2 linked regions of the Sus scrofa genome follow. The protein of the gene in region 1 interacts with the protein of each later gene in a biochemical or structural test. Links are inferred from orthologs where the notes say so. Each region holds a gene or a part of one and is shown in the gene's direction. Other genes may lie near its edges.

The links.
Region 2: the proteins of WASL (region 1) and PFN1 form a complex in vitro, tested with the Homo sapiens proteins (2 studies listed by BioGRID). The link is inferred for Sus scrofa from reciprocal best matches to the Homo sapiens genes WASL and PFN1.

The regions. Positions count from the first base shown.
Region 1 is NC_010460.4:23,721,069-23,725,476, forward strand, and holds the start of WASL (neural Wiskott-Aldrich syndrome protein), read left to right. Parts: upstream 1-1,324; 5' UTR 1,325-1,499; coding exon 1,500-1,616; intron 1,617-4,408. UniProt on the Homo sapiens protein: Regulates actin polymerization by stimulating the actin-nucleating activity of the Arp2/3 complex. Involved in various processes, such as mitosis and cytokinesis, via its role in the regulation of actin polymerization.
Region 2 is NC_010454.4:51,961,306-51,965,676, forward strand, and holds PFN1 (profilin-1), read left to right. Parts: upstream 1-1,336; 5' UTR 1,337-1,536; coding exon 1,537-1,668; intron 1,669-3,132; coding exon 3,133-3,325; intron 3,326-3,901; coding exon 3,902-3,999; 3' UTR 4,000-4,265; downstream 4,266-4,371. UniProt on the Homo sapiens protein: Binds to actin and affects the structure of the cytoskeleton. At high concentrations, profilin prevents the polymerization of actin, whereas it enhances it at low concentrations. By binding to PIP2, it inhibits the formation of IP3 and DG.

The DNA.
Region 1 (4,408 bases):
AACGTTTTAATCAAATAGTTTTACCAAATTTTATCTGGCATAAATGTCTTAAGTTTGATATGGGTAATTTTTTAATTGAAATTGAATAATAAACAAACATGATGGTAAAGCTGATGCAACATATGCTAATTTCTCTAAAGTGGAGAAGTCGGATGCTTACTCTATAAATCGCAGCAGTGGGTATTACTTATCATTTCCATATTCCAAAACACCGTCTTAAGACAGCTGTTTAGTATTTAACTTACTGAACAAAGGGGGTTATCCCAGGTAGCTTTCAATATTCTGAGGCATTTTTTTTTTTTTGAAGGTCCCAAGATTTACTTCCAATGATATACAAGATAATGAATTTTCCTGGGGACATCCCAAAATGGGCACATTCATTTTGGATAAAAGGAAAACGAGGTCTTCGGAGTTTGAGAGAAAGAAAAGATGAGGAGGGGAAAAGGAATATTTTCCAATTCACTAAACGAAGGAAAATGTGTGGAATACCCTTCAGAGAAAAAGAGTCTGAATTTAAACGTTACTAATAAGTGTATCCTACGAAACACACCAGCCAGAGTAGAAATCTCTTCTAAGTGCGTCTGCTTTTTCGGGAACATCCAATCAGCAAGGTCTCTCTTTCATAACATTGGGAGAGGCCTGTTCCTTCACTCCCACTGTTGAAGTCTGCACAAACTTGGAGAAACCCTGGGCACCTGCGGCTCTGAAGAAACCGGCGAGGAGCACAAACGAGGGCGTCTTTTCTCCTATTTTCCGTCTCCAGATTCCAACCTTTTTGACAAGCAGTGCGAACGCCCAGCCGCCGCGCCCCAGAAATAAGAGCTATTCTCAGGAGGTGGACCTGGGTCTGCGCTGACGCTTCTCAAAGGTGTGCGTCCGCAGAAGAGGAGCTCAGAGCTGGGCCGCGGAGACCAGCCGTTTTCTCTCTCCTAGAGCTGCCGCGGAGAACAGGAGAGGAACAAGACCAGGAGAGGAGCGAGACCAGACGCCAGAGCCCGCGCGCGACTCGTCGCCCCGCGTCGGAAAACTCAGCCCGCCCGCCAGCGGAAGGGGGCGTGGCCTCGGGCAGGCGCGGCGAAGCCAGCCGCGGCGTGGGGGCGGGAGGGGGGGCCGGCCCGCAGCCGCGCGTTTCCGGCGCGCTCCCCCGCGTCTTGCGTCCTGTGGTCTCGCCCGTCTCCGCTGCCATGTTGGATTGTGCGGCCGCCGCCGCCGCCGAAGGAGGGTTGGAGGAGGAGTTGGGAGTTTAACGCAGTCGCCGGAGTGCAAGGACAACGACCATCCGGCCAGACCCTGGCCGGGCGGGAGCAGAGAGCTTCCCTTTCTCAGCGCGGTCCGCCGACGGCTCCTCCTTCCCTTGGCCTCCTCCCCGTGCCAGAGGAGCTGCGAGATGCTGCGCCTCTGACTCCCCTCCTCCCGCCCCTGTCACCGAGAAGGGGATCTAGCATTCGCCCACTCGCCGGAGGAGACGGCCCTGGCCTCCCAACCCTGCCGGCGAAACCATGAGCTCCGGCCCGCAGCAGCCGCCGCCGCCGCGGAGGGTCACCAACGTGGGGTCCCTGCTGCTCACCCCGCAGGAGAACGAGTCCCTCTTCACCTTCCTCGGCAAGAAATGTGTGGTGAGTGGCCGAGATCCGTGTCGCCGCGTCCTACTTTGCCTCCTGGGCCGGGGCTGGAGGGCCGGGAAGTGGGAGTGGGGAAGGAGGCGGGAGCGGCGCGGGGAGGATCGGGCTGCAGGCCTGGCCTCTCGCGGCCCTGTCTCCGTGTCGGCCCCCTCTGGCCGGGTTTCCTGGGTGCGGGCCGGCGCGGCCGGACGCCACCTCCCGGACCTGTCCTGGGAACAGGGAAGTGTCACCTCTGCAGGCCTGCCTTGGAGCCCAGCTTGGCCGGGCCCGGGTCCGTGTCCTGGCTGCTGGCTCAAACTTTACAAACAGTCCTCTCAAGGGGATTTTCTTGCAGGACCTGCTTGATCTTAGTAGTTGGGCCCCTGTACTGGCCCCAGTTTATCCTCCTGCGGCCTGATTTGGGGGCACCTTCTTTCACAATGCCAAAGGTTTCAGGAGTATGTAGATCGGGGACTGAAGCCTAAATATGAATGAAACGACCCATAAGGTGGTTTTTAATCTCCCTTGAGGTTCTCAGGAAGAAGTGAAGTCGAGTGCATCGGTTCAGAACGAGGGCAGGAAGCACTACTACTGCTCCCCATTGGAGAGGAACAAGGTTTATTTCTCCAGCAGTCTAGCCCAGGCCTGGTTTCTCTCTCCTCTTGTTTCGTTTTTTGCATTGGTAGGAGATGCTGCTCTCCCGCAACCAAGCTCAGGGGAATCTCGGTCTCCTGCCGTTCTTGGCCTTTTGGAGTCTGAGAATGGTTCTTAGGCTGGTGCTGTGCGGCCTGTTCCAACCCCAGATGGCGGGTTGGGAGCGAGCCGTTCTGCTGTGGGAAGGGGAATGTGTGTTGTTGACGGAAGCATTCATTACATTGGCTGCTGGCACTTCTGGGGGTGGGGAGGTTCTGCTCTATGGTGGAGGCCTTGTCAGGCTGCATCTTACTGCAGTGGCTGGGTTGAACCGTGATTGAGTTTGTTGAAACGCTGTTTGGGTCCCTTACTCCCCTCTCTCCTGGTGAGCACCTGCAGAGTATGTGCCACTGGAACCCAGGAACTACCAAGGGAAATGTCAACAGAGATGTACTTTTTACAACTGTTCTTAGTAGTGTTAAATGGATCCAGAGGACACCTGCTTGTTTAAGAAGTTAAGATTAGACAATTTTTGAGAAGTTACCAAATTAATTGTTAACTTTATAGTTTACCCTTTGTATCCTGTGCCATCCAGTAGGAGATTGAATCATTGCATTCAATTCAGATGTTTCATATTTCAGAAGTTAGGTCTGAGTAGAAGAATAAAATGAGTAGGGTGGCTTAAAATTAGAATTTGGAAAACAACCGTAAAGACATTCAAGCCCCCTACTTCCCCCACACACTTTTTAATCAAGTGAGAAAACTGAGCCAGTGAGCCCTAAGTCACACAGCAATTTGGTAATGTAACCAGAACTAGAAAACCAGGACACCTGATGGCCAGTCTATTGTACTTTCCACTACATCATGTTGTTTTAGAAGAGTTTTTTCCTTATTTGTTATAGATTTATTTCCAAAAGTGATTTTAAAGGAATAGTCACTTTTTTTTTCACACCAGAAACTGATAAAATTAAAGTATAAGATCCTTAAAGGAGCACTAGTTTTTGCATATTTTCAACTTAGGAAAATCTCCAATACTTTGAAAGTAACATTCATTGTCTGCAAATGAAAAAAATTTAAAATTTTGCTGGTTTACTGCTTTTGCTATGTAATCTGTGTCAGAAAGGAAGTAGTTGTACTATGTGTTAGTTACCAGACACATTCAGTTTAGACAGGAAGGACATTACATTTATAAACAGGTATACTGACTCTGTGCTTACCTGTTATGTTTACTGGTTTCAAAAAATGACAAATGTTGAAGAATACAGGGATAGAAAAATATGCTATTGCTTAGTGGTTAATGTAGGTGGATTGGCAAATAAGCTGTCAGTACTCAGTGCATTTTGGTTTTTGTTTTTTTGTTTTTGGTTTTGTTTTTTTTCTTTTTAGTGAAGTTCCCAGGCTGGGGGGGGGGGGGTCAAGGAGCTGCAGCTGCCAGCCTACGCCACAGCCTACAGCCACAGCAATGCGGGATCTGAGCTGTCTGTGACCTATACCACAGCTCACCGCAATGCCAGATCCTTAACCCACTGAGCAAGGCCAGGGATTGAACCCGAATCCTCATGGATATTAAGTTCATTACCACTGAGCCACAATGAGAACCCCCAGTGCTCAATTTATGTCATCTATTACTAATCAACTTTGCCATTGGGATTTCTGTCATTTAGAACCACACTATTATAGTTACCTGCTCTTGTGGTATGAAATGGTTGCAAAGATTAACTTTAATATTTGAAATCTCCAATTATTAGAAAATAAAGAGTGATATTTTTATTTTCTGGAACAACCTTATTTTCCTTCCTTTGCTGACTGTGCAGTTTTTTGTACAGTACTGAAATATATCTCATTAAAAAAATTAAGCAATGAGATTTACAGGTCAGACCAGATTTATTAAGTAAGATGTGTATTCAGAGCTCAATTTAAGAATTCAAGAAATGAAATAGGCGTACTTATAGTCACTGCTCTCAAGGAGTTTCATTCCTTCTTTCATTCAGCAGACACTTAATGAGTAACTAAATGTTGAGGCCAAAACCAGGGTTGATGCCTGCCCTCAGGGAGCTTAGGATGTCCAAAAAGAGAAACAAATGTGTCAACTGATGAGTAAGTCAATACTTCAGAGTGCTAAGAGGCTGCATGTCACAGTGGAAAATATCCTGGTTGTGATCAGCAGATGGGGC
Region 2 (4,371 bases), on another chromosome or scaffold:
GCGGGGAGCGCCGCCACGTGCCCGCGTGCGGCCCCGCCCGGGCCGGCCAGTGACTCAGCCACGGCGGCTGTCGAGGAACCAGGCTCGGGGGGCGGCGGGTGCCTTTAGGGTTCGCAGCGGCCTCGGGAGCACCGCACCCCTCTGGGGGGGACGGGGAAGGTACGAAGCCCCTTCACGCCCGGGAGGCGCCCCTCCCCCGAGGGACCGGAAGCGGCCAAGCCCCTCAGCGGACCCGGCGGCCAGCCGGGGCTGGTTCACCTAAGCCGGGTCCTAACCCCACCCGCTTCCCAGCGGGCGGCGAACGAACTCTTCGCACACAATTTCTTAGCATAAGTTTTACTGAAAAAAGAAGAGGAAAAAGGCCCAGGGGGCCAGGGTAGAAGGGACTTTCCTCTTCTTGAAAAAGTTGCATGTTGAAACCCTAGTATTCTTCCGCCTTGAAAAATAGGCCCGCCCGCCGCGCCCCGCGGGCGCCGAGGCTCAGTGACCTCTGCAGAGACAGGGTAAGGGGGACGGACGGCGACCCAAACTGCTGACCGGGGCACAGTCATGGAGTGAGGCCTAAGGCTGGAGCTGATCCAGCGCGAGGGATAATCCCCGTGGAGTCGGGTGGGCTCCAGCGAGTGCAACTTATGCCGCCGTGCAGATGCTGAGGACAGAAGTGTCCCCGGTGGGCGCCTTCAACTTGGAAAATGGTCGGGGTATTTTGTCAAATTTCCCTTTACTGCCTTTATTTCTTGAATAAATAAAATCAAGAGTGCAGAAGCGGTAACGTGCGCGCCTCACCCCCGCCCCTTCCGCCCAGCAGCAGACACGTCCCCGGCCCGCCTTCCTTCGCTGGGGGTCCAATTCGGCCCGGCCCGGCGCGCCCCGGCGCGCGCCCGCGAAGCCGGCGGCCGGCCCTAACCGCCCCACGCGCTCTCGCTCTCTGCCCCGGCGCAGGCGCGGGCGCACGCGCTGCCGCCGCCTGCCGTTCCTCCCCCCGCAACCCCACAGCAGAGGTGGGGGAAGGGGGAGTCGTTCCGTTTAACCCTGAGTTCCCCGAACCCTCTTAATCTGCTAAATTTGCAGCTCGCTAGTTCTTTCTCCGTTCACTTTCCTTCCTCCCTCTGGCTCACTCTCTTTCCCTACACCAAAGTCTAATATTCTATGCAAATTGGCGCGAGCCCCAACTCTAACCCCCCCGCCTCCCATCCTTTCAGCGTCGGTTCCCATCGAACTCGGCAAATTTTGCAATAGGGGGAGGGATTTTTTAAATTGCATTTGCAAAGTTCGGTATCTGGGCAGGCGAGAAGGAGGAGGGAGGGGATGAGGAGTAGGCCCCGCCCCCACCGCCCTTTGCAAATAAAAATCTAGGGGGGTGGGGAGGAGCAGGAAGTGGCGGTGCGAGGGCTGCTGCACAGCTAGCAGAGCCGCGGTCCGGACGGCAGCGCGTGCCCCAAGCTCTCTGCCTTCCCCCGCCCGCCAGTCCGAGGCAGCCCGAGCCCAACCCGCGGCCCCAGCAGTAGCCCCGAGAGCAGCCCCAGTAGCAGCGCCATGGCCGGGTGGAACGCCTACATCGACAACCTCATGGCGGACGGGACCTGTCAGGACGCGGCCATCGTGGGCTATAAGGACTCGCCCTCCGTCTGGGCCGCCGTCCCCGGGAAAACCTTCGTCAACATCACGGTACTGCGAGGCCTGCGGGGTCTGGGGAACTGGCCGGGCTTGGACCCTGAGGGAGGGACTTGGGTGGGGGCGGGCACGCTCTGGAGAGCGCAGCGAAAAGCCGTGGTCGCTCCTGGCCCTGGAAGTGGCGCGAATGGTGGCTGCACGTGAGCCGGTCCGTCCCGGGGCCCCCCGAGTCGTACGTCCCGGGCGGCGGCGCCCGGCCAGCCCGCCGGCCCCGCTCTCCGAGACGGGGCGTTACATCCGGGGCACAGGGCGGGGAGGGGCGCGCCGCCCGGTGCGGCGGCCCACTTCCGTCTCCTCCAGGGCGGGGCGGGCACACGCTGCAGTTTCAACCCGGGATTGTGATTGAGAAGGGACTCGGGGACCCCTGGACCCTGAGCTCCACTTCCGCCCGCCTGCTCGCGCCCCCTCCACCATTGTTCCTCCTTATGCGGTGGGAGCCCGGCTCGCGTGGCCAAGGTCCCATGCCCGTCCTCTGCGCTCCCTGCCCCTCCCAGCTCCGTTAGAGAGGGCTAGGCCGCCTCACGCCCTCCGCCCCCCCGCAGTCGGCACGTTAGACTCAACATTCCTGTGAGACCGATCCCGGAAGTCCCCTCGCCCTCCCTTCCCGCCATCCGGCGGGGCCTGGAGCAGGGGAACTTTGTGAGAAGTTCTAGGACTGAATTATCAGTGAAGGAGTAAGGGATGACTTCTGCTGTCCCCTCACCACCTCCCCAGTCCACACTGCCCGGAAGTGGGGAGGGGGAGCGGAAGTTCGAAAGGGGGGGAAGGGGATTTCCGGGCGGGAGGGGACCGGATGTGGGGATTTGGGGTGTAAGGGGGAGGGGAGAGAGTTTCCCTGGGGTATCAAGACCCGAGAGCTGGCTTGCTGGGTCTAGCCCCAGGCCCCCTCCAAAAGTTTTTCAACTTTCCCGGAATGCCCCCAGACATCTTGCTTCCTCCTCTTAGAGCACAGATACCTGGACCTGAACTCAAGGTTACTTAGAGACCCAGGCGTCCGGGCCCCTAACAACTCCTGTAGAACCTTTGACCAAATAAGGGCAAAGTTGCTTCTCCTGCTTCGCCCGCCCCCTCCCTTCCCCTCTTCGCTTCTGCTTTTCCTGAAGGAGACTTCTGAGCATCCAAAGGCTCTCCAGTCCATTCCACTCCACTCTCCTCACTCCTTTTTGGCCCCCTTTATTTCCTGGGTTTGCTTTCCCAAGAAATGACATCTAAGTCTCCAGGGGAATATGTCGTCCCTTTCTGTTACCATTCTCCTAAGTTTGAGGATCATGATCTTTTTGTGCACGAACTTCCGACAGTCCTGAGTTGCTCAAATTTCACTGGTGTGTACAAAGCACATAACATACACCCCTCCCAGGGGGGTTAGCTTCCTGAAGAAATGGAAGGCAGGTGGGTCCTTGGAGAAGGTGGGAACCTTGGGGTACTGACTAACTTGATGGTGCTTGGTTCCCCTTCCAGCCAGCTGAGGTTGGTGTCCTGGTTGGCAAAGACCGGTCAAGTTTTTTCGTGAATGGGCTAACGCTTGGGGGCCAGAAATGCTCTGTGATCCGGGACTCACTGCTGCAGGACGGGGAATTTACCATGGATCTTCGTACCAAGAGCACTGGCGGAGCCCCCACCTTCAATATCACTGTCACCATGACTGCCAAGAGTGAGTTTCTGAGTTTTTTGCCCTTTCCCTAATGGACCTCCTTCTGCTAATCTTTCGGGTTTTCTTTGTGGATTCCCCAGTATGAAGGGATCAGGCCTGGGACGCTGGATTGTCCCTCTAGTTCTGTCTCAGTTCCTCATCTTAGAAAGAAGTTGAACTGTATTACCTCTTAAGTTCCTTCTTGCCTTGAGTCTTTTTAGCTGGGAAACTCTCTGGTTTTCTTGGAGGAGGTAGGCTGTTAGTTCTAAGTCGGCACTTGAGCTCTTGTCTTTGGGGCTCTTTGTTAAAACTTGGAGGTGGCAGGCTCATCCACAGCCATTTCTAGCCTGAACACATGAGTCAACTGTCTGCGAGCCTTTGACCCCTAAATTTTACTGTGTTCCTTTCCAGCCTTTAAGCTTGATTTTCCCCTTTTGAAAAGCCCTATTGTTTCAGGGTGACTGACAGCCTGCCTGTGTGTGGGGGGTTGGGAAAGATGAGGTTGGGTTACAGCCCCCAGGGCTGGACAGCTGCTGAACAGCTGGCGGGAGTGGGATTGTGACACCTGGGTCCTAGCCTCCTTTCTCTTTCCTCCAGCGCTAGTCCTGCTGATGGGCAAAGAAGGTGTCCACGGTGGTATGATCAACAAGAAATGTTATGAAATGGCTTCCCACCTGCGGCGTTCCCAGTACTGACCTCGTCTGTCCCTCCCCTTCACTCCCCACTGCTTTTGCACCCCTCTCCTTCCCACACACACACATCCACCATTTTTATTTTTTGGGCCATTACCCCACACCCCTTATTGCTGCCAAAACCACGTGGATTGGGGGCCAGGGCTGGATGGACAGACACCTCCCCCAACCCATACCCTTTCCTGTGTGTGGTTGGAAAACTTTTTTTGTTTTTTGGGTTTTTTTTTTTTTTTTTTTTTTTTTTTCTGAATAAAAAAAGATTCTAACAAGGTGCTGTGTGGTTTTAGCCTGGGTATCAGGACGGAGGACAGCCACCATGACCTGCCTCCTCCATTCTGGCTTGGGGTTAGGGTTGAGGCACTGCACATCTAGGAA